Linked DNA regions of Callithrix jacchus. The protein of the gene in region 1 interacts with the protein of each later gene in a pairwise test. Links are inferred from orthologs where the notes say so. Each region holds a gene or a part of one and is shown on either strand. Other genes may lie near its edges.

Region 1 (10,002 bases):
GATGGGATGATCCTAAGGGTTCAGTTTTTATATTCATACTACCATCCCTGCCACCTTCTACCGCCCCCATCCCAGCCATTCTAACCTTTGGGAGTGCCCAGGGATGCCCCTGGTGTGGGTAGCACCACTCCCATCTCCCATTCACAGACCATTCCATCACTACTTTTTTCTCCCCCAAGTCTTCTGGTAATGGCCTTGGGCTGTGCTGCATGCTAGAATTCTTGAGACGTGTCCTGCTCTTTCTTTGTAGCTGGTGGGCTTGTTGCTCATTGGAGTGGCTGCTTGGGGCAAGGGCCTGGGTCTGGTGTCCAGCATCCACATCATCGGTGGAGTCATGGCTGTGGGAGTCTTCCTTCTCCTTATTGCAGTGGCTGGATTGGTGGGTGCTGTCAACCATCACCAAGTCCTGCTGTTCTTTGTATCCTGACCTGAGTGATGGGGGCAACTGGGCTTTTGGAAGGGCTGTCAGATATCTAAGATGTTGGAAGGGTAGGGGACCTCAGGGATCTTGGACACATCTGCTTGCCTTGCCGCCCCATAATCTACAAAACAAGAGCTGACTTTATTGCTTTCAGTTTGACCTGGTGGTGTAAGTTCTATGACTAGATGAGACCAGGCAGTTATAGATAGAACATAAAAGGAATCTAGGACTTTTTTCCATTAACCTTTCCTCTCAGTACATGATCATTCTCGGTTTGGTCTTCATCTTCCAATTTGTTATCTCTTGCTCATGTCTGGCTATTAACCGAAGCAAACAGGTAAGACAATGCTCTTTCAAGTACTTATTTGCTTTTTAAAATTTTCCTCTTACCCTCTAACTCCTTCCTTAGTCTGGCCCCAACTACCCAAAGATCATCCTTAGGTCCACTGCCTCTAGCCTCCTGGGCTATTTGCTTCCTCTTGGATGTCTGGCTAATTTTCCATGATGATCTAGAGAACCCGAAAGGTAGATATTTATCCTGTCTATAATTGTGGCACACTGTTATGCTTCTGGTTGACTTCCTTTGCTGGACTAGTGAAATTGGACTTCAACTTATATCAGGATGTAGGAAGATTTAATTTCCCTCTGCCCATATCCTCCAGACAGATGTCATCAATGCTTCTTGGTGGGTCATGAGCAACAAGACTCGGGATGAACTGGAAAGAAGTTTTGATTGTTGTGGCTTATTCAACCTTACAACCCTGTATCAACAAGATTATGATTTCTGCACTGCAGTGAGTGTGTTGGGGGTGGTACAGCAGCCGGGGAGGTAGGAAACTGGGTAAGGACAATGCCCAAGTTGGCAAATTTAGTTTGAATGTCATTATTTCTCTTTCTAGAAGCCATCTTGTATTGGGGCTGTGTGTTGGTAGGGGATAGGGGTGGATACAGAGGCTGGGGAATTAGCTAAGTGAGATTTTAGTTTGTAGGACACTAGTCAGATAACAGTAAAGTTTCTGGGGACATTCAGCATAGGTATTGGTGACTAGCAACTTTGCATTCTTCACACACATTTTATATCCTCAGATCTGCAAGAGCCAGAGCCCCACATGCCAAATGTGTGGAGAAAAGTTTCTTAAGCATTCAGATGAAGCCCTGAAAATCCTAGGGGGTGTTGGACTCTTCTTTAGCTTTACAGAGGTAACATTCTCCAGTTCCCTCATGTACACCCTTTTAAACTTGAGACTGAGAATTGGTGCTTATTTCTCTCTTTGTTCCTACAGATCCTTGGTGTTTGGCTAGCAATGAGATTTCGGAATCAGAAGGATCCTAGAGCCAACCCCAGTGCCTTTCTATGAGACTTTGGATCCTTCTGACTTCTCTTCTGCTCTTTCTCTTCCTCCCTTAGAGAAAATCTAGGGTTTGTAACCCTTTTGGTTTGAGAAAAAGGAAAGGCCCCTTGTCATATCCCCTACAATTGATGGAATAGCAAGACTTTACACCTTGACATATTTTAGTGGGAGCCAGACTATAAGGAATAAAAGGAAAAACTTTCTCCCTCTCTCCAGGAGGATATGGGAAGCTTCTGGGAGTGCATAGAATGGACTGGGGTCATTCTTAACTGTTCCCCCTCCTCCTCTGTCCATATACTAGATCACCTCAACATACCCTGGTGTGGCTTTAAGGGTAAATTAGGGACAGAGACAAGGAGAAAACCACCAAGAACTCTTTCCTGTAATAAGCAGGACCCAGTTTGAGAAAGTTCAATGAATATAAAAGCCATTTAAAAATGCTTTTTTTTTTTTTTTTTTTTTATACGGAGTCTTGTTCTGTCACCCAGAGTGAAGTGCAATGGCATGATCTCGGCTCACTGCAATGTCTGCCTCCCGGGTTCAAGCAATCCTCCTGCCTCAGCCTCCCAAACAGCTGGGATTACAGGCATGCACCACCACACCCAGCTAATTTTGTATTTTTAGTACAGACTGGGTTTCACCATGTTAAGTCAGGTTGGTTTCGAACTCCTGACCTCAGGTGATCCACCCATGTTGGCCTCCCGAAGTGCTGGGATTATAGGTGTGAGCCATCACGCCTGGCCTAAATTCCATATTTAGAGAAGGAATTTCAGTTTCTTTCTAAGCTTTGTCAGTCCAGGGGCTCCACTGACTGCCTAGGCCCTGTACCTTAACCAGTCTTTAAGGTTTTGCAGGAAAGTCCCTTCTTCCAAGTGGTTTTTCCAAATCGAACAATGGCCAAGCCAAACAAAGGAAGAAACATTAAAAAAAAAGAAAAAAAAAGACCATTTTTTCTTTGTTTTGTTTTTCCTGTATAAAAAAAGACCCCCAATATAAAGGTAGGGAAAGGGACACGAGGGAACATACCCCTTAGTGTAGGAAATAGGGGGGCAGAAGGAGAGGCCTCAGAAGGAGAGGTAGGAGGGGAATATCATTAAGGCAGCAAAGTAATCTCTGTAGAAAGATGGAGGTGGAGACTCCACAGCCTCAGAGACAAAGGCAGAGACTGCCCTCTCAGTGTCCAGAAGGGAAACGGCAGCTTTTCTTCCTTCCATGGCAGCCACTCCATTGCTCACTCCGGATTACCTTCATCCTTATGTAGGTAAGAGTGCTGCAGAGCTCGAAAGGCAGAGATTCGCTTGTGTGGGTTAAAAGTCAGCATTTCCTGAGGGGAGAGGCAAAGGTTAGAAAACCATGAAGAAAACTGAAAGAGACTTCTGTGCACCAGTGACAATACCTGGGATGGGCTCTCTCTTTTTATTTTATTTTTTTTGAGACGGTCTTGCTCTGTCGCCCAGGCTAGAGTGCAGTGGTGTGATCTCGGCTTACTACAACCTCCGCCTCCTGAGTTCAAGCGATTCTCCTGCCTCAGCTTCCCGAGTAGCTGGGATGACAGGCATGTGCCACCATGCCTGCCTTACTTTTTGTATTTTTAGTAGAGATGAGGTTTCACCATTTTAGCCAGGCTGGTCTCAAACTCCTGACCTCAGGTGATCCACCCGCCTTAGCCTCCCAAGTGCTGGTATTACAGGTGTGAGCCACTACGCCTGGCCAGGATGGGCTCTCTTTTAGATCCCTCTCTGTGGGTGGCTATTTGCAGCTGCAATAAAAACTACAGCCCATCTACCAACCAAGTTTCATTAACCACAGTGGCCAGGGCCCTGTGTACTGCTCTGCTTCTTCCCCCAGTCCCTCCCTGTGCCCACAGCCATCTCCAATACCAACAGCAGATGTGCTCCCAACTCCTCCATCTCAGGTACCACCGACTGCACTGGGCGGGGCCCTCTGGGGTGAAAGGCTCCACGGGGCAGAGATACATCTCGAGGCCAGTCATCCTCTGGAGGCAGCCCAATCAGGCTGTGGGGGACAGGAGAGCTGTGGTCAGGAGGGTCCTCCAGTTCCCATCCCCATGGAGAGAGCCAGTTGCCATCCTGGGCTCAGCAGAAAGAGGACTCAGAATGTAAAATATTTTTCTCCCATATTGGTCACTTACTCAAAGATTTTGCCCAACTGGTCAGCTTCAGAGTTTCCACAGAAGAGAGGCCTAAGGTAAGAAGAGACATAAGGTAGCTGTCATTTTTAAAGTATCATAGTCGAATGGCTGTTACTACTTAGTAGCCCAAAATAAAAAGTATAGCAAATAAAGACCAGTAATTCCAGCACTTTGGGATGCTAAGGTGAGACAACTCTTTGAGCCCAGGAGTTCTAGATAAGCCTGGACAAGCAAGACCTTGTCTCTTAAAAAAAAAAAAAAAAAAAAATGTCAGGTGCGGTGGCTCACGCCTGTAATCCCAGCACTTTGGGAGGCAGAGGTGGGCAGATCATGAGGCCAAGAGATGGAGACCATCCTGGCCTACATGGTGAAACCCCGTCTCTACTAAAAATATAAAAATTAGCTTGGCACGGTGGTGTACACCTGTAGTCCCAGCTCCTCGGGAGGCTGAGGCAGAAGAATTGCTTGAACCCGGGAGGTAGAGGTTGCCGTGAGCCAAGATCGCACCACTGCACTCCAGCCTAGCAACAGAGCCACACTCTGTCTTGAAAAAAAAAAAAAAAAGCCATTCATGGTGGCGTGCGCCTGTAGTAGTCCCAGCTACTCAGGAGGCTGAGACAGGAGGACTGCTTGAGCCCAAGAGGTAGAGGGTACAGTGAGCTGTAATTGTGCCACTGCACTCCAGCCTGGGTGATAGAGTGAGACCTTGTCTCAAATAAATAAATAAATAAAGGAGAATAAAGGGATATGAAGTTCCCAATTCCAGAACATTTTAGTGCTTCCCGTTATGGCCAAGGTAGTCAGTAGAACTCAAGTAAACGAATGGGGCCAGGTGCAGTAGGTCATGCTTGTAATTCCAGCACTTTGAGAGGTAGAGTTGGGAGGACTGCTTGAGTGTAAGAGTTCAAGACCAGCCTGGGCAATATACTGAGACCCCATCTCTACAAAAATATTAAAAAATAGCCAGGCATGGAGGTGTGCGCCTATAGTGTGAGCTACTCGGGAGGCTGAGATGGGAGGATCACTTGAGCCCAGGAGGTTGAAGCTTCAGTGAACTGTGATCATGTCATTGCAATCTAGCCTGGACAACAGAGAAGACCCTGTCTCCAACAAAAAAAAAAAAAAAAAAGAAGAAGAATGGAAGGGAGGTTTGGATGTGGTTTATGAACAAGAGATTTGGGGAATTCAAGGTGGTCCAGGGTATGTGGGTCCCATACTTTCGACGAAACATCTCAGCAAAGATACAGCCAACACTCCACATGTCCACAGGTGTTGCATATGTGGACTGCAGAAGAACTTCGGGAGCTCGGTACCAGAGTGTAACCACCTAAAGGGGATAGGAAAAATGGATGGGGATCCCATGCGTTACCATGAAATACAACTGACTTAACTGAACACATGAAGCACATGACTTCTCAATTGTTATGGGCCACCACTCTCCTACTCCCAACCAGAACCCATATTGGTACCATCTTTCTACTGACCACAGGTGTAAGTGCCATCTGGTAGCTGTAGATTCTGGCCAGGCCAAAGTCAGCCAGCTTGACTGTTCCACCACTTGTCACCAGAATGTTCTCTGGCTTCAGATCTCGGTGAACGATGCAATTGGCATGAAGAAAATCTAGGCCTCTTAGAAACTGGCGCATCAGATCCTAGTTCAGAAGGGGGAGGAACAGATGCACTGGAAACTAGGCACCATCCCTGAAATCCCAGGAGGTTCTACTACAAAGGTCCCAATTCACCTCTCAATGCCTACCAACCCCACTCACCTTGATGGTCTCTGCAGGCAAGCCTGGTGGGGGTGCCTTGTCCAGATATGTCCTTAGATCTTGGTCTACATGCTCAAACACCAGGGTTACCTTGATCTCTCGGTCAGTTCGCGATGTGGCACAGACATCCATCAGCCTGGCCAGAGTAAATGCTCACTTGTCAATCCCCTTTAACCCACATGACCTCTCATTATTTCCTCTGGGTCCCCACTTCTCACCAGATCACCACACCCCACCTATAGACTGTCTTTTCCCTTTACTGCCCACTCCCAACCCTCCACCGCCTTCTCACCGGACAACGTTGGGATGCTCAAAAGCCTCCAGTCGCCTCAGTAAGGCCACTTCACGAACTGTGCTGACGGGAAGGCCTCCTCCAGCTCCTCCATTGGGGACTCTCACACTCTTGAGGGCCACAAAGTGGCCACTGTGGGGATCACGGGCCTTGTACACTGTCCCATAGGCACCGACACCAATTTCAGCCACTGGCTCATATCGAGAGGTAGCCATTCTCAGATCAAGGGAGACCCTACAATCACAAAGACTCCTATCACTAAAAGTCCCTTACAGAGTTAGGATGGTATGAGCCTGCAGCAACAAAGGGACTCCCAAGAAAAAGCACAAAGAACAACACCAGCATCCCATCCCCCGCTCCCAATCTTCCTTGGGCCGGCCCCGGAGATAACACAATGACTCAATACCAACCCCTGCAGCCACGTGAGGCCCTACAATAAAAAATGCCTTTTCTTTTGGGACAATCGCGCCCCGTACAAAGATCACACATGACACACGCCTTGCATCGAAGATCTTACACCTCAGTCCCTAAAATTATACCTTCCCACGACCACAAAGGCCCCATTTCCCGCCCTTGAACGACCCTTTCATAACCAGCTCTCGAAACGCACGCGTGGAAAGCTGGGATGGGGCTGCACTTACCTCACGCCAGGCCGGGGTGCTGCGGGGGCGGCCCGTTATCGGGGCCCCGGAGCCGGTTCCTGCGGCCCCATACACCCGGGCTCTGTCCCGGGCAGCTGGACGCAGAGGGCCCGACCATAGACACAGGCCGCAGGCTAGAGAGGCCCCCTCACCCCCACCCTCACCATGTGACCAGATGCCAAAGAGGCGCGCGGAAACTGGGAGGGCGGGGCGAACGCCGGACGTTCTGGGCACGTGACCGCCAGCCAAGCGCTGTGGGGGCGGCCAGGAGCCGCTTTGACGGGGAGGAGAGCTAAGAGCGTAAGAGGGGCGGAGGGGAGATACAGCCATGTGATCTGTTGCTATCACACGTGACCGCTTGACATTGCTCGGAGGAGCAGAGGTGTGGTTACGCGAAGGGCACGTGACTAGCTGCCACAACCCCGCTGCGGGTGGGGGGGCGCGGTAGGGGGCAAGAGAGGGTGGAGCCCAAGGCGGTGCCATGGCAACCCAGGCCACCCAGAGCCCAACTCCGGGCTGAAAGATTGTTTCACTGGTCTTTCAGCCTGACTACATTGGGGAGAGGGTGGGAGTTGGGGGACCAGAGGTGGTACTATCACCTTTTTGCTTCACCGTGAGAAAACATACTCTCATTTGTGCCATTGTTTCACTCATTCATTCTACAAAATTGTACTGAGTGCTTGTTGCCAGTGTGTATGTGGGTTTTTATTTTGTTTTGTTTTTGGTGTCTGTCACTGGCTCTTTAAAGTAGTGGTACGACTATCTATAAAGATGTAGCCAACAATGGGGTCTTATAAAATAGGTAGTAGACAATGCCCACTGGAGGGCAAAACTTCAATTAGGGGATGGACAGAAGGCAGATTAATACAGTAAGACAACAGGAACAGTGGCAAAGTAATGCCCTCTAGTTCCCAACTTCCAAACCTTCCTGGAAGTGTTAATGCAAAGACTTGAGGCCATCTGGCAGAGAAGTTATTGATGAGCAGGAGACAGGAATACTTGACCTTTATGTTTTTTGTTTTTGTTTTTTCAGTAGGAAGATTCTATGATTATGTGAGATTAAGATATATGTGTGTATATATATACTTCTAGGTATATATATATGTATGTATGTTATATTACTTATTACATGTCGTAGACAGGCGCATGTGCAAGAAGTTACCACCACACCCCCTGCACCCTCCAGACAACCACAGTAAATGGGAATGACGTGCTTTTCTGCAAGCTTGTGACTGTTCATTTGGAGTCACTGTGCTTCCCTTTTTCCCTAGTGCAGCTTTCTTAGCACTTAGCACCATCCAGAACCAGCACTTAGCACCATTTTTCCCAAATGGCCTCTGCCCACAGACACCTAGGTTGACAGAGGTAGATTTCTCCTACCTTTTTTGTTTTATTGGCTCCAGGTTCTTTATCTCCCAGCCCTTTAGGGGTATGGGAGTAAAGGAGGAAAGTGGTTAGTGTCTCATTTGTGAGAATTGACAATTTGTCTAAAATATATATAAATATATATTTTTTGTCTAAAAATATATATAAATGTATATTTTAGACAAAATATATATGTATTTTTTGAGACGGAGTTTCGCTTTGTTGCCAGGGGTGGAGTGCAATAGTGTGATGTGCCACCACGCCTGTGATCCCAGCTAATTTTGTATTTTTAGTAGAGACAGGGTTTCTCCATGTTGGTCAGGCTGGTCTCAAACTCCCAACCTCAAGTTATCTGCCTGCCTCAGCCTCCCAAAATGCTGGGATTACAGTCGTGAGACACTGTGCCCAGCTGAATTTGTCTAAAATCTAAAGCTGGTTTATTACCTTATTTGCCACTCCTTCCACCCTAACTTCTGTTTTCCTGAACCATCTGGCTGAGAATATAAGAGTTCAAACTAGAAGATGAATATAAACTATTATTTAGAGCAAAACAGGATACATGTTAATACAGATGCCTCCTCTTTCCATCCTGATACTTGTAGCCCTGGGTCCCTCCTGGTAAGGGCAACTGGAACACTAGTAAAAAAAAAACCTCAAGGACTGAACTGACTAAGGGGCTCAAGAGGTGAATGTTTTATTGGCTCCCTTGCTGGGGTGGGTGCTTTGTAAGCCTTCTGGAAAGCTAAGATAAGTGTCTGTGAGTTTCTCAAACTCCCTGCCCACATCAGCATTCCCCACTTCAGCCTCACCTTCCGCATAAGCCCATCCCAGCTTTCTCTCTCTCTTTTATTTTTTTGAGACAGGGTTTCACTCTTGTTGTCCAGGCTGGAGTGCAATGGCACCATCTCAGCTCACCGCAACCTTCACCTCCTGGGTTCAAGTGATGCTCCTACCTCAGCCTCCCAAGTAGCTGTGATTACAGGTGCCTGCCACCACACCCAGCTAATTTTTTTGGTATTTTTAGTAGAGACAGGGTTTCTCCCTGTTGGTCATGCTGTTCTCAAACTTGCGACCTCAGATGATCCATCCAAAGTACTGGGATTACAGGTGTGAGCTACCGTTCCTGGCCTCACAGCTTACTCTCTTTAAAACAGAAGCCATCCTCTCTGTCTGCTTGGGTCCCAGCCCCTTTTTCTGATTCATTCATTAGTCCATCCAAACCATTTGAATATTTCATGGGAACATTACTGTCTCTCCATCACTTTCTTTGAGGAACCTTAATTTGGCAGTCTGTCCCAGGCTCTGTCTCCTCCCTTCTTCTGTTAATTACTCTTTCACTAATTAATTTTTTCCCAGTGTGTTTGACCCAATGGGCTCCCCTGAAATCCCTTTTCCCTCAGCTTTGCAAAGGGTAGGAGAGGGAGAATGTAAGTGTGAGGCAGAAAAAAATGTGATGGGGTAGAACTTGTTCTCAGAGAGAAGGCTCCATAAAAGCAAAGGCTAAGTGTGTGTGTTGTTCACTTCAATGTAGTGGAGGTCACTGCAGGAGAGTACCAGGAAAGACACGCCCATCCCTGTAGCACGCCTACCTCCTGCTCACTCACCTCCTCACATTACAGTCAGAGGCTTCTGTTTCTCAGGCAATCCGATTCCATTCCTTACACACCTCTTTCCCAGTCCCCATCAAGCACACTTTTCAGCCCTTTGGGTAAAGTGTATATTGCTTGAGTCCCTCCCCTGCCCATGTGTGTACCTCTCTCATACCTCCGACCCTTGCACAGCTCTTTCTTTGCACACTCCCATTTTGCGCAAGCTTCTCCCTCCCTGGTACACCTGCGTCCTTTGACCACTCACCTTCCATGCTCACCCGCTCATCCCCCACTCCCAGACACACACCTAGTCTACTCGTGTGCACACTCCCCTTCCTTGGCCACTCCCCTTCCTCCACCCTCCCCGGGCTCGCACACTTGCCCCCGCCCCTGGGGACACCTGCTCTGGCGGGGCAGGGAG
Region 2 (10,129 bases), on another chromosome or scaffold:
TTTGTTGAAGGGCAGTTACCTAGCTTCGTAAGATAAATTATTTGGCCCTAGACACTATATTGTGCTTGCCATACTAGGTAAATAAAGTGTCATGAAAGCATTCCTAAGTATACATTTTCCAAGAGTTGAGGTTTTATCAGTCTCAAGCTCTCTTGAATCTGTTTCATTCCTTAGTTCTGAAATTACTAATTTTAACCATTTAAAGCACAGGAAATTTTACATAGATTTTGCTTTCATAGCAAAACACCCTTAAAAATTTATCCACTTTGGTGAAAAAGAAAAGACAAAAATGAAGCCAAATGAATATTATTAAATTTTGAAATTTATTTAACTTTCCAGATCTTCTTGGAATAAATGTCAGGTAGTAGAATTTGTACAAATCTTGATAATGTCTTAGACTTAGATATAGAACTTAACAAGTATATGCAATTTTCTGTAGTTACACAATGGAGCCAGAAACAGGACTCATAAAAATAGTAACTGTGTTTTTGCATGTGTCCTTCAAAGTGAAATCCTTAACAAATTTAACAGTATATACTTCTTCAGGCTGTTGATGAAACAGCTAAACCTGTCTGCCAGGTGGCTTCAAAAATAGAATTAATTTTTACATGGTATTAATGAGTTACTATTTCAGTACAACCAGGTGGTAACTGATACCCAATAATGTTTTAGGTTTGCTTTATACCAAAAAAAAAAAAAAAAAAAAAAAAAAAAGAAGAAAGAAAGAAAAAACTAACAAAACAAAACAAAAAAAAAAACAATATAATATAGCACTATGTAATATGCAATAACTTTTTTTTTTTTTAGTTTCCCTTAATATCAGTTGTCATTAGGAAAGATTCCACAAGTTACAGAATCTTTCTAGAAATGAAGTAACATGTTTTCATATCTAATTCAAGGGATAAGTTTTCATGACCCAGTATCGTGCAACTAGCAAATTTAAACATCTTGGAATTTAAGACATAGAGGTTAAGGTAAGGGATTTTATAAATCAAATGGGAGATTTTAAATTATCAACTGACTTCTTTCATACAGAACGTTTTCTAGTAATTGTAAAATACTATAACTTTAAAAATATTATTCTTGTAGCCCATAATGTTGAGTGCTTAAGTGATAACTAGAATTACATTTTCTGTCCCTTTGTGTGCTTTAATTTGAAAATGGAGGTTCCATTATCTTTGTTCCAAAATTTTGGGTTTTTATAGGTGTTTTTTGGGGGGCTATTCTCCATATTGTTGACATTTTAAAATAGATTTGAAACAAGCTGTTTGTATTTACCAGAAGTTAGAGAAAGAAATGCCTCCTTAGAAACTTATGAGGGAGATCATTGTATATTTCTGTTTTTTTTTTTTTCTTATCTTCATGTGTATCACTAATGATTTTGGAGGACACGCTGGTGCAATGGGAAGAAAAGCAAGACAACCATAATAAGCTTTTGAACCAGATGCACTTACTTTTTGCATCCATGGAATGAATATCTTCTGACCTTTGGCAAGTTATTTGATATTTCTTTGCCTCATTGTTTTCATCTGGGAAACAATACCTACCTATCTCTCAGGTTTAAGTATTAAATGAACAAATATATTTTAATGTATGCCTGGTACAGATTATATGTCAATAAACATATCCCTTCCCCAGTGATATATGCTCTGATTCTCAACTAATTTTCCCCAGAAATATGTTCATTTTGGGAACAGGAATTGGTAGAGCAGTGAAGAGTTGTGTGTTTAGCTCAAATGTGCTCTTTCTTACAAGTCTCTACTCTCAAATCACTTTTTTCTGTTTCTTTTTGCCTCTTTTAAATGTTAGTAGAATGAGCATTCAGAAGCATAATACATGTATAAATTTTATGTTTAATTTTCTATGGCATATGTAAGCAGTTTTTATACATTGTTGGTATTGCTTATAAATAATTATTACAAATGTTGAGATAAGGGAACTCCTGTGAACCTTTAACATTTCTCAGGAGTTAGTGGTAAATCCATGAACATATATTTTTAAACCAAATTACCCATCTCTTGGAGTTCAATCTGTTAATTCTTTATAAAGCAGTGAAGTATCAGTTTTTTCCAATGATATAATAAGCAACACTGGAAATTAAATCCCAAAGCAGTGCATCTTTAGTTTGTTCAGTAGATAGTAGGACATCCCACAAGCCATCATATATTTACAACAGTTTTTATACTCAATCTATTTTTTTCAGCAGTCTTTTGGGAAATATCCCCAGATAATTTACTAAATAAGTGCATCTATCTTCTAAAAGACATTTGGAATATTTCTTAGTCTGACCTCTGCACTCTGAGACACTCTATAAAGGAAACAATCAGAAATATTTAACAAAGAAATAAATAGGTTAAGGAGAAAGCAATCTAGGCGTTTGCACAGAGCTTGCTACAGTGCCATGGCTACATTTAAGAGCTGTAGTTCTTTCTACGTTTTAACTGAGAGCCACTAGTTATAATGTTATTTAAAATCTCTGCATTAAATAAGACAGTTACTGAACAACTAAAAAAATACAAAATATCATAAAAGCAAAAAGTAGCAATTCATGCGCGCGCACGCTTGTGTTTAAGAAACAAAACGTTACAGTTAACCCTTACAATTGCTCTCATTCCACTTCACCATCTCATCCTGCGCAGTTTGCCTCCGGAATGCCGCGGTAATCTCTCCTCAGTGCAGTAAGAACAAAGGCCAACACCCTCTGCAAAGGTGTTCTGCAGCGTCGTGGTCCAGGGATTTTAGGACTACGACGATCTTTGGGGGGACATCTGTCTTCGCTTGCATGTCCTCTCTTACCCCTCTGCTATCTGGTGGAGCTGGGCACGGGTCCCCAGCGCTTCCAGAGAGTGTGGTTTCCGCTCTGGATTTGCCAAGCGGCCAGACAAAAAGCACCGAGCACTTTCTGAAGCCCACCTCAGCCCTCGTCCACTTTGTCCTCAGTCTTCAGGTTTTCTTCCCCACCCCCCCCCCCACCCCCCGCTAGGGCCTAACCTGTGGGTTCACCAGAACTCCTCAGCAGACAGTGGGGTGAACGCATGGACTGCCCCCACCCAAATGCCAATCACGACTGTCTTCCACTCAGCGCTGGAGTCATCCATTGGAAGATTAGTAGCCACCAGGGTTGGTCAAGGATTTCATATACACTTTCCCTGAGAAAACCCGGAAAAGCAAACGACACCTGAACTTCACACACTCCTAAGTATCACTGGAAATCCGCCTGTGTTTGGCTTCACGGTGAGTGTCGAGGGCCGGATCCAGAAAAAAAAAAAAGTATGGAAGGTTATTCCTGGTAGGCTCCCCCTTCCTGCGAGTCTCAGACAGCCTGTAGGTTTACAGGCTTCCTGCTGCTCCCCTTTTGCAGCCTTCATCTAATTCGGTGGGTGGGGGTGGGGAATTGGGGAGGAAAATAAAGTCGTTGTGGGCGGCTGGGGAACCCGGTGTCAGTCCCCCGCAGCCGCGCGCAGGTACCCTGCAACATCGCAGTGGCCCCTCTCCTCAGCCAGGTCCAAGGGCAGACGGCCCCAGGCATCGCGCACGTCCAGCCGTGCCCCTGCCCGGTGCAGCATCACCAGCGTGTCCAGGAAGCCCTCCCGGGCAGCGTCGTGCACCGGTCGGGTGAGAGTGGCAGGGTCCGCACAGTTGGGCTCGGCACCGTGAAGCAGCAGCAGCTCTGCCACGCGGGCACTGCCCATCATCATGACCTGCCAGAGAGAGCAGAGTGGTCAGAGCCAGGGTGGAGTCAGGTGTGGGAGGTGCCGGCCTGGGTGAGGTGGGCGGAGCCTTTAAACAAACACCTATTTGTGAAGTATCCACCCAGTGCAGAGGTGTTCAAGTCTCCGGTGTCTGGTGTTTCTTCATTTGCTGATGCAATCTGCTTTCCCACCCCACCTTCAGGTTATACTCTACTCAGTACAAATTAAATGCCATTTTATTTTCTAAACGTGCAGAGACAAGAAAGTTGATGGTAAAGTGATGATCGTCATTGTGGAAAGCAAATCTTGATTTCCATCGGAACATGGGAATCTATTTTGTTAAATGATTTATAGGCACAGTTAAATTTATTTGGCTTTTAAAGTTTCAAATTATTTGCCTTGCTGACCCCTCCTCCATAATCTAGGTCTCAAAATATTTACTAGGAAGCCAACTACTGTTTGTCAGAAGTTGGGAGTAATGGTTTAGGGGAGAAAATCAACCACTATGTTTTTAAAAAAGTTTAGTTCTCAGCAAATCCTGCGGGGAAGGCTTTTATCTTGTGTCTGTGTTCATAAAGAGATTGTAGTGTGAAATTTGAGCCAAAGTTGGAGATTAGAAGGGAAAAGTAAATTAAATCATGCAAAATCTTATAAAATTGTGAGAACAAATGATTTTTGTTAAACAGTTCATCATTTTAAATTTAGAGTGTAATATATTTAATGTAATGTAAAACTAACAATATATTTATATTTTTCCATGTACTATAGGATTGTATAATAGCTAAGATTTTATAACGTTAAATAGTAAATATTTTGCTATATAAAAAGAGCTTGGGCCAGGTAATGTAATCCCAGCACTTTGGGAGGCGGAAGTAGGCAGATCACCTGAGGTCAGGAGTTGGAGACCAGCCTTGCCAACATGGTGAAATCCTGTCTCTACTACAAAAAAAAAAAAAAAGAAGAAAGAAAAAAAATTAGCTGGGAGTGGTGGGGCCGGTCTACAGCCCCCAAAACTCGGGAGGCTGAAGCAGGAGAATCACTTGAACCTTGGAAGCTGAGGTTGCAGTGAGCTGAGATCATACCACTGCACTCCAGTCTGCCCAACAGAGTGATGCCCCATCTCAAAAAAATAAAAAATAAAATAAAATAAATAAAAAGAGCTTGGATGTCAGCAGTCAATCAGGATGATGCATAACTTAGAAAAAGCGTTTTGCAGGAGTAATCCTATAGCAGCCATTTGTGTACATGAACATTATCAAAACATTTGCTGACATATTTTAAGTTAATTATAAGACAGTTTTTGGTAAATGTCCCAAATCAAGTTATGGGTTTATGTACTTTAAAATGTACCATTTAATTGAAAGGCAGTATACTTCTCATGTTTTGTTTGCTTATTTCATTAATATTAGAAATGTTCATTTCCTCCCTTGAAAACCATGATGTTATTTTTTTACTAGCGATGTAAGGTATTTTACATAGAAAACAGAGGGGAAAATAGCTGTTCTTAGTATTTCAGAAAATGGTGAATTATATATATAACTTGTTTTTATAATTATTAATAGAATTTTAAGTTTTAAAAAACCACTTTACAATATTTTTGCTCCTTTAAAATATCCCTTATTTGTTTTACCTCTATTCTAAGAATTCAAAAGAAATGGACACTTCTATAAAATCTACACTGTAACAAGATCCCTTAGTATTAGCTTAGTTTTGGAGGGTGATAGTGAGGTGAATACTGAATATGACCAATAGCCAATGGTAAAGTACAAAAGTGTTGTCCTAAGATTGTAAAAGAAATTAAAAATATCAGTACTAATTAAAGCAGGATTTGTAAACATTGAATACAAGTACTTTAACAATGAAGATAAAGATACCTTATTTATGAAGATCCTTTGTCATTCAGAAAGGACCTAACAGTAGCTGCAGGAATATTTTTGTAATCTGAGCACTGAGTATGATAATTAAATGAAAAATCTATAGAACTATATGTATATATTTTTCTCTTATGCATCACTTATAAGACATTGCTAACATAAAAAGAACTAAGTACTGTGGTTGAGGAATCCAGTCTTATTACTTTGAATTCAATTAACCTTTATGAGAAAACAATACAACAGATTTCATATAGTAGCTTAAAACTTTACATTGAATTTTTTCCATGTACTATGATTTTGTAGAATTCCTTAAATCCAATCCAGAATGTATAACTTAGTTTACTTATCTGTATCGTTGAAAGCAGGCAGACAAGTCTTCCTCCCCAAATAAACTTTCCCTTTCTCCTTTTTTTCCCAATTCAATCTATTCCTTGCATTTCTGATCATGAGATGGCAGAAAACAATATTTTAAAGAAAAGCTGAAACAGTGGGTTTTTCAATCTCTCTCTTTAGGATTTTTGTTGGGTAAAAGCCTGTTTTATGCCTGGGCTGTACACCTCCGGCCAAGGGAGACTGCTGCGTAAGTCTACACCGGCGATCTAGGTTCCAGCCCCGACCCACCGAGGCCGCGCCCCGCGTTCGCGCGCCCCCTGCCGGCGAGGCCCCGGGGCCCAGCTACCTGGATTGCGCTCCTCCCAAAGCGGTTGACTCCGTTGGGATCCGCGCCGGCCTCCAGGAGCTGTCGCACCTTCTCCACTTGTCCTCGCGCCGCGGCGCTGGCCAGGTCCTCATCGCTGCCGCCCCCACTGGGCATGCCCTTGTTCTCCTCGCGCATTCCGCAGCCCCCAGACGCGCAGCGGCCCGGGTAATCCACCGTGGGCGGTAAACTTAACGACACTCCTCCCTTCTTTCCCACGCCGCTCCGGCGCACTGTCTTCCTGGGAGAGCTGGACTCAGCTTCATTCCCCTCCGCCGTGCGTCTGCGGCTTGCGGCCCCGTTCGATGTCAGAGCGGCGGGTATTAGCTCCGGGCTTTTTCCTGGCCCCAAGAACCACCCGGCGCGACTGGATTGCTTCTGGGAAAAAGCGCCTCGCGCGGCCGCAGCCGAGCTCAAAGCGGCTCTGGCCGCAGGGTGCGGACGCGTCGCGGAGTCCTCACTGCCCCGCCTTGCTCTGGCAGAGTGGGGAGCCAGCCGGCAAAGAATTCAGTTTTCAGCTGGGCCAAGGGGCCTGCCTCTCCCCTCCCCCTTAGGCTCCGCCCCCTGCCCGCCTGCTCGCGGGAAGGCCCGGCCCGGTCGACGCGTCACGGCGGCGGGGAAGCCCGCCCAAAGGTGCTGGGACGCATGCGCCAGAGACTGGGCCGGGGAGCCGCCGGGACGCCGGCAGCACTGCTGGCTGGATGTCCAGTAAATCCAAGGCTAAGATTTTGGGAATGTTGACCCACTGCCCTCAGCTTCTAATTCCCAGTAGGCGGAGCAGAGGACTTCTGTTCCGTCAGCCTTAGGCCAGTTGGTTTCACTTGAGAGACGTTGGTGGCTCCCTTGTGGCTGAGAGAAAGGCACTGAAAATAACTCCGTCTTTCTTAAGATGTCTGAAAGCGACAGCTCTGCACCTGTCATACAAGTTAAATTCATCCCAGGCAGTACTTGAACTTCGTAAGTTTCATATCTTGTGTCAACCTTAGCAATTTTCTTTTGGACGTGTCTTCCTATTTGAATTAGTCAACCATAATAATAGAGAAAAATTCTGAGAATCCTGTTTTGCATGTGCCTTTAAATTCTTTCCATCTTTGCATTATGAATATAACCCTCAAAAAAGAAAAAAAAAAACTAGTTAGAGATTGAGAGTGGCAACCTGGAACACATAGACAAAAAAAATTTATACTTTAAGAATCTGAGATCCCAGTTTCATCATATTTGTACAGCAAATCTTTGTTTGCACTCTTACCTGTTTAAATCCACTTTGTCAAGCATTTAATTTTTTATTTATCGTGAGTAGTAAAGGAAATTTATGCAGTAATGATGAAACATAATAAGAGAAGGGTGTGGTGCTGGGCCTGTCATTAAACAGGCTGAACCTGTTATTAAATTCTCTTCTGAAGATTTAAATGCCAAGTGCCTTTTTTCCCCTTTCTAATCTTCCTAGGTGAGTTTGAATCAACATTTATTATATTATTTTAAAAAATTTCAGCTGATGCTAAATTGGCTAGGAAGAAAACAACAAATTATGGATTTGTTGCCTAAAAACTTTGGTGAGGAACTACACAAGTGAACGTCTCCTTAGAGTGAACAATTTTTATTTACAGAATCATTTTGGTTCAGAGTGCTGAGGAAGACAAAGTTTTAAAAGGAGGGCAATTGGTTGTATATTGCAAAATGAGAGTCTCCACCTGTTTCTTCTAGGATACCTCAGCTCTGACTCCTCATCACCCAAATCCCTGTAGCATGAGAGAAAGCTTTCTTTTAAAGGAAGTGGTGCCCATGGAAGTGGTGGTTAGGGCTGAAAATCTGATGGAGCCTCAACAGAGCTGAAATCTACCTGGACAGGGAAGGGAACTGCTTAACATTAATAACAATTTCTTTGTCTTTACCATCCAACCTCAATTTCGTAGTCTTCAGTTTCTTAATTCCTCTACCTTTCACTTTTATTCAAACTTCCATGTTTCTGTGAAAATGCCCTTTTATTTGTTGATGGCTACTCCATTTTTAGATTTGACTAGAGGAACCAAAGTCTACTTCTGGGTGAAACACATGAACAGATTGCTTTTGTCTTGGGAATCAGTCCCCATGCATAGTGTATTGGGGATAACAGAGGTGTAGGTAGAACAGGAGAAAGAGGAGGAAAGATGGGCAGTGGGAAGCAGGAGTCTTTAAAATGAATGACATTGGTTCTTTACCATTCACCCTGAGGGGCCAAGCCACTAGCCTGGTGTGGTGGATGTGGTGGCAAAGACACAGTCCAGAATATCTTCATCAGAAAAGCCGAGGTACTCCAAAATGTAGTGCACAGTCAAATGCAACAAGGGAGGTTGCCTTTTTGTTATTGGGATCTTGTCTCTCATAGATACAGTTATTAAGTTTAGTTCAAAGTAAGTAATGCAGCATGTCCTATATTCTAGAAGTTCAAAGTTGAATAAGACATGAGTCCTCACTTTTAAGAAACTCTGTAGTGGCACTAGAAACTAATAAATAGTTTCAATTTAATGTATATCCACAAGGTGCTTTGGAAGTAAGGAAGACCGGAACCTAATTTAGGGTGAGGGTACAAGGAACGTTTCTAAGAGGAGATGCCAATCGAAGAGAGTTTTCAAAGGATGCATCATAAATGAATGTGTCTAGAGGCTGGGTGCAGTGGCTCATGCGTGTAATTCCAGCACTTGGTGAGGTCGAAGTGTGTGGATCTGGATCGCTTGAGCTCAGGAGTTTGAGACCAGCCTGAGCAACATGGAGAAACTCTGTCTGTACTAAAAACACAAAAATTAGCCGGGCATGATAGTGCACGCCTGTAATCCCAGCTACTCAGGAGACTGAGGCAGGAGAATCGCTTGAACTCGGGAGGCAGTGGTTACAGTGAGCTGAGATCGCACCACTACACTCCAGCCTGGGTGACAGAGTAAAACTCGGTCTCAAAAAAGAAAAATGTCAAAGCAAGAGCTTTGACCTTGAGTTTCTCTGAAACTTATCAAAAAAATTAGGACAAGATAGTCTGAGCGAATTCCTGAGCCAATTTCTTAGGTGGTAAATGTGTCCGAAAAATGAAAACTGTAGTTGATAGGGAAATAGAAGATAATGTTCTTCTTTGACGGGAGCACAAAGGATGGTGATAGGGAAAGAACTAATGGGTAAGTATAATGACGAGACAGATGTGTGAGCTTCGCTAAGCAAGTCGGCTGAAAAACAACTTTGGGTAGGGAAAATGATGCCGGGGGCCTTCGCGCTTAGTAGCACCACGGACAGCGCTTTGCTTATACTCACAGGCCTGGGTGGTCCTAACCTGTTCCAGACAGAATTCTAAAGCTTCAAACTGTATCTTCCAAAGCCCCTTTTCTCCATTAAATAGAAAGGACCTTATGGGAGCTCAATGGATTTCTTTGAAAAATCAACCTGTTCAACCTGGTTTCCAAATATGGTTAGATTTTATCTAATATTCCCTGTATAAAGAATATCATACAGTCTATATTTAGAAGAAGAGAAATACCACGTACTGTGTAATCTGTCCCAAGTGCTTTACAACTGTTCCTTCCTTCCTTCCTTCCCTCCTTCCCTCCTTCCCTCCTTTCTTCCTTTCTTCCTTCCTTCCATCCTTCCCTTCTTTCTTTTTGACAGTCTTGCTCTGTTGCCCAGGCTGGAGTGCAGTACAGTGGCGTGATCTTGGCTCACTGCAAACTCTGCCCCCTGGGTTCAAGTTATTCTCCTGCCTCAGCTTCCTGAGTAGCTGAGATTACAGGCGCAGCTACTACGCCCAGCTAATTTTTGTATTTTTAGTAGAGACGGGGTTTCACCATATTGGCCAGGCTTACCTCGTGACCTGCCCGACCCGGTCTCCCAAAGTTTTGGGAGTGACA

What was found.
Region 2: the proteins of CDK4 (region 1) and CDKN2B interact in binary tests that used the Homo sapiens proteins (3 or more experiments, as listed by UniProt). The link is inferred for Callithrix jacchus from reciprocal best matches to the Homo sapiens genes CDK4 and CDKN2B.

The regions. Positions count from the first base shown.
Region 1 is NC_133510.1:61,951,473-61,961,474, reverse strand, and holds CDK4 (cyclin-dependent kinase 4), read right to left. Parts: upstream 6,752-10,002; 5' UTR 6,628-6,751; intron 6,221-6,627; 5' UTR 6,202-6,220; coding exon 5,987-6,201; intron 5,831-5,986; coding exon 5,695-5,830; intron 5,578-5,694; coding exon 5,410-5,577; intron 5,253-5,409; coding exon 5,143-5,252; intron 3,977-5,142; coding exon 3,926-3,976; intron 3,790-3,925; coding exon 3,654-3,789; intron 3,098-3,653; coding exon 3,005-3,097; 3' UTR 1,901-3,004; downstream 1-1,900. Other genes in the region: TSPAN31 (tetraspanin-31), read left to right, coding at 251-418, 678-758, 1,084-1,215, 1,508-1,621, 1,705-1,779; E3 ubiquitin-protein ligase MARCHF9, read left to right, coding at 9,362-9,403, 9,893-10,002.
Region 2 is NC_133502.1:129,001,277-129,011,405, forward strand, and holds CDKN2B (cyclin-dependent kinase 4 inhibitor B), read right to left. Parts: upstream 6,749-10,129; 5' UTR 6,402-6,748; coding exon 6,246-6,401; exon of another isoform or gene 6,080-6,245; intron 3,702-6,079; coding exon 3,441-3,701; 3' UTR 1,836-3,440; downstream 1-1,835. UniProt on the Homo sapiens protein: Interacts strongly with CDK4 and CDK6. Potent inhibitor. Potential effector of TGF-beta induced cell cycle arrest.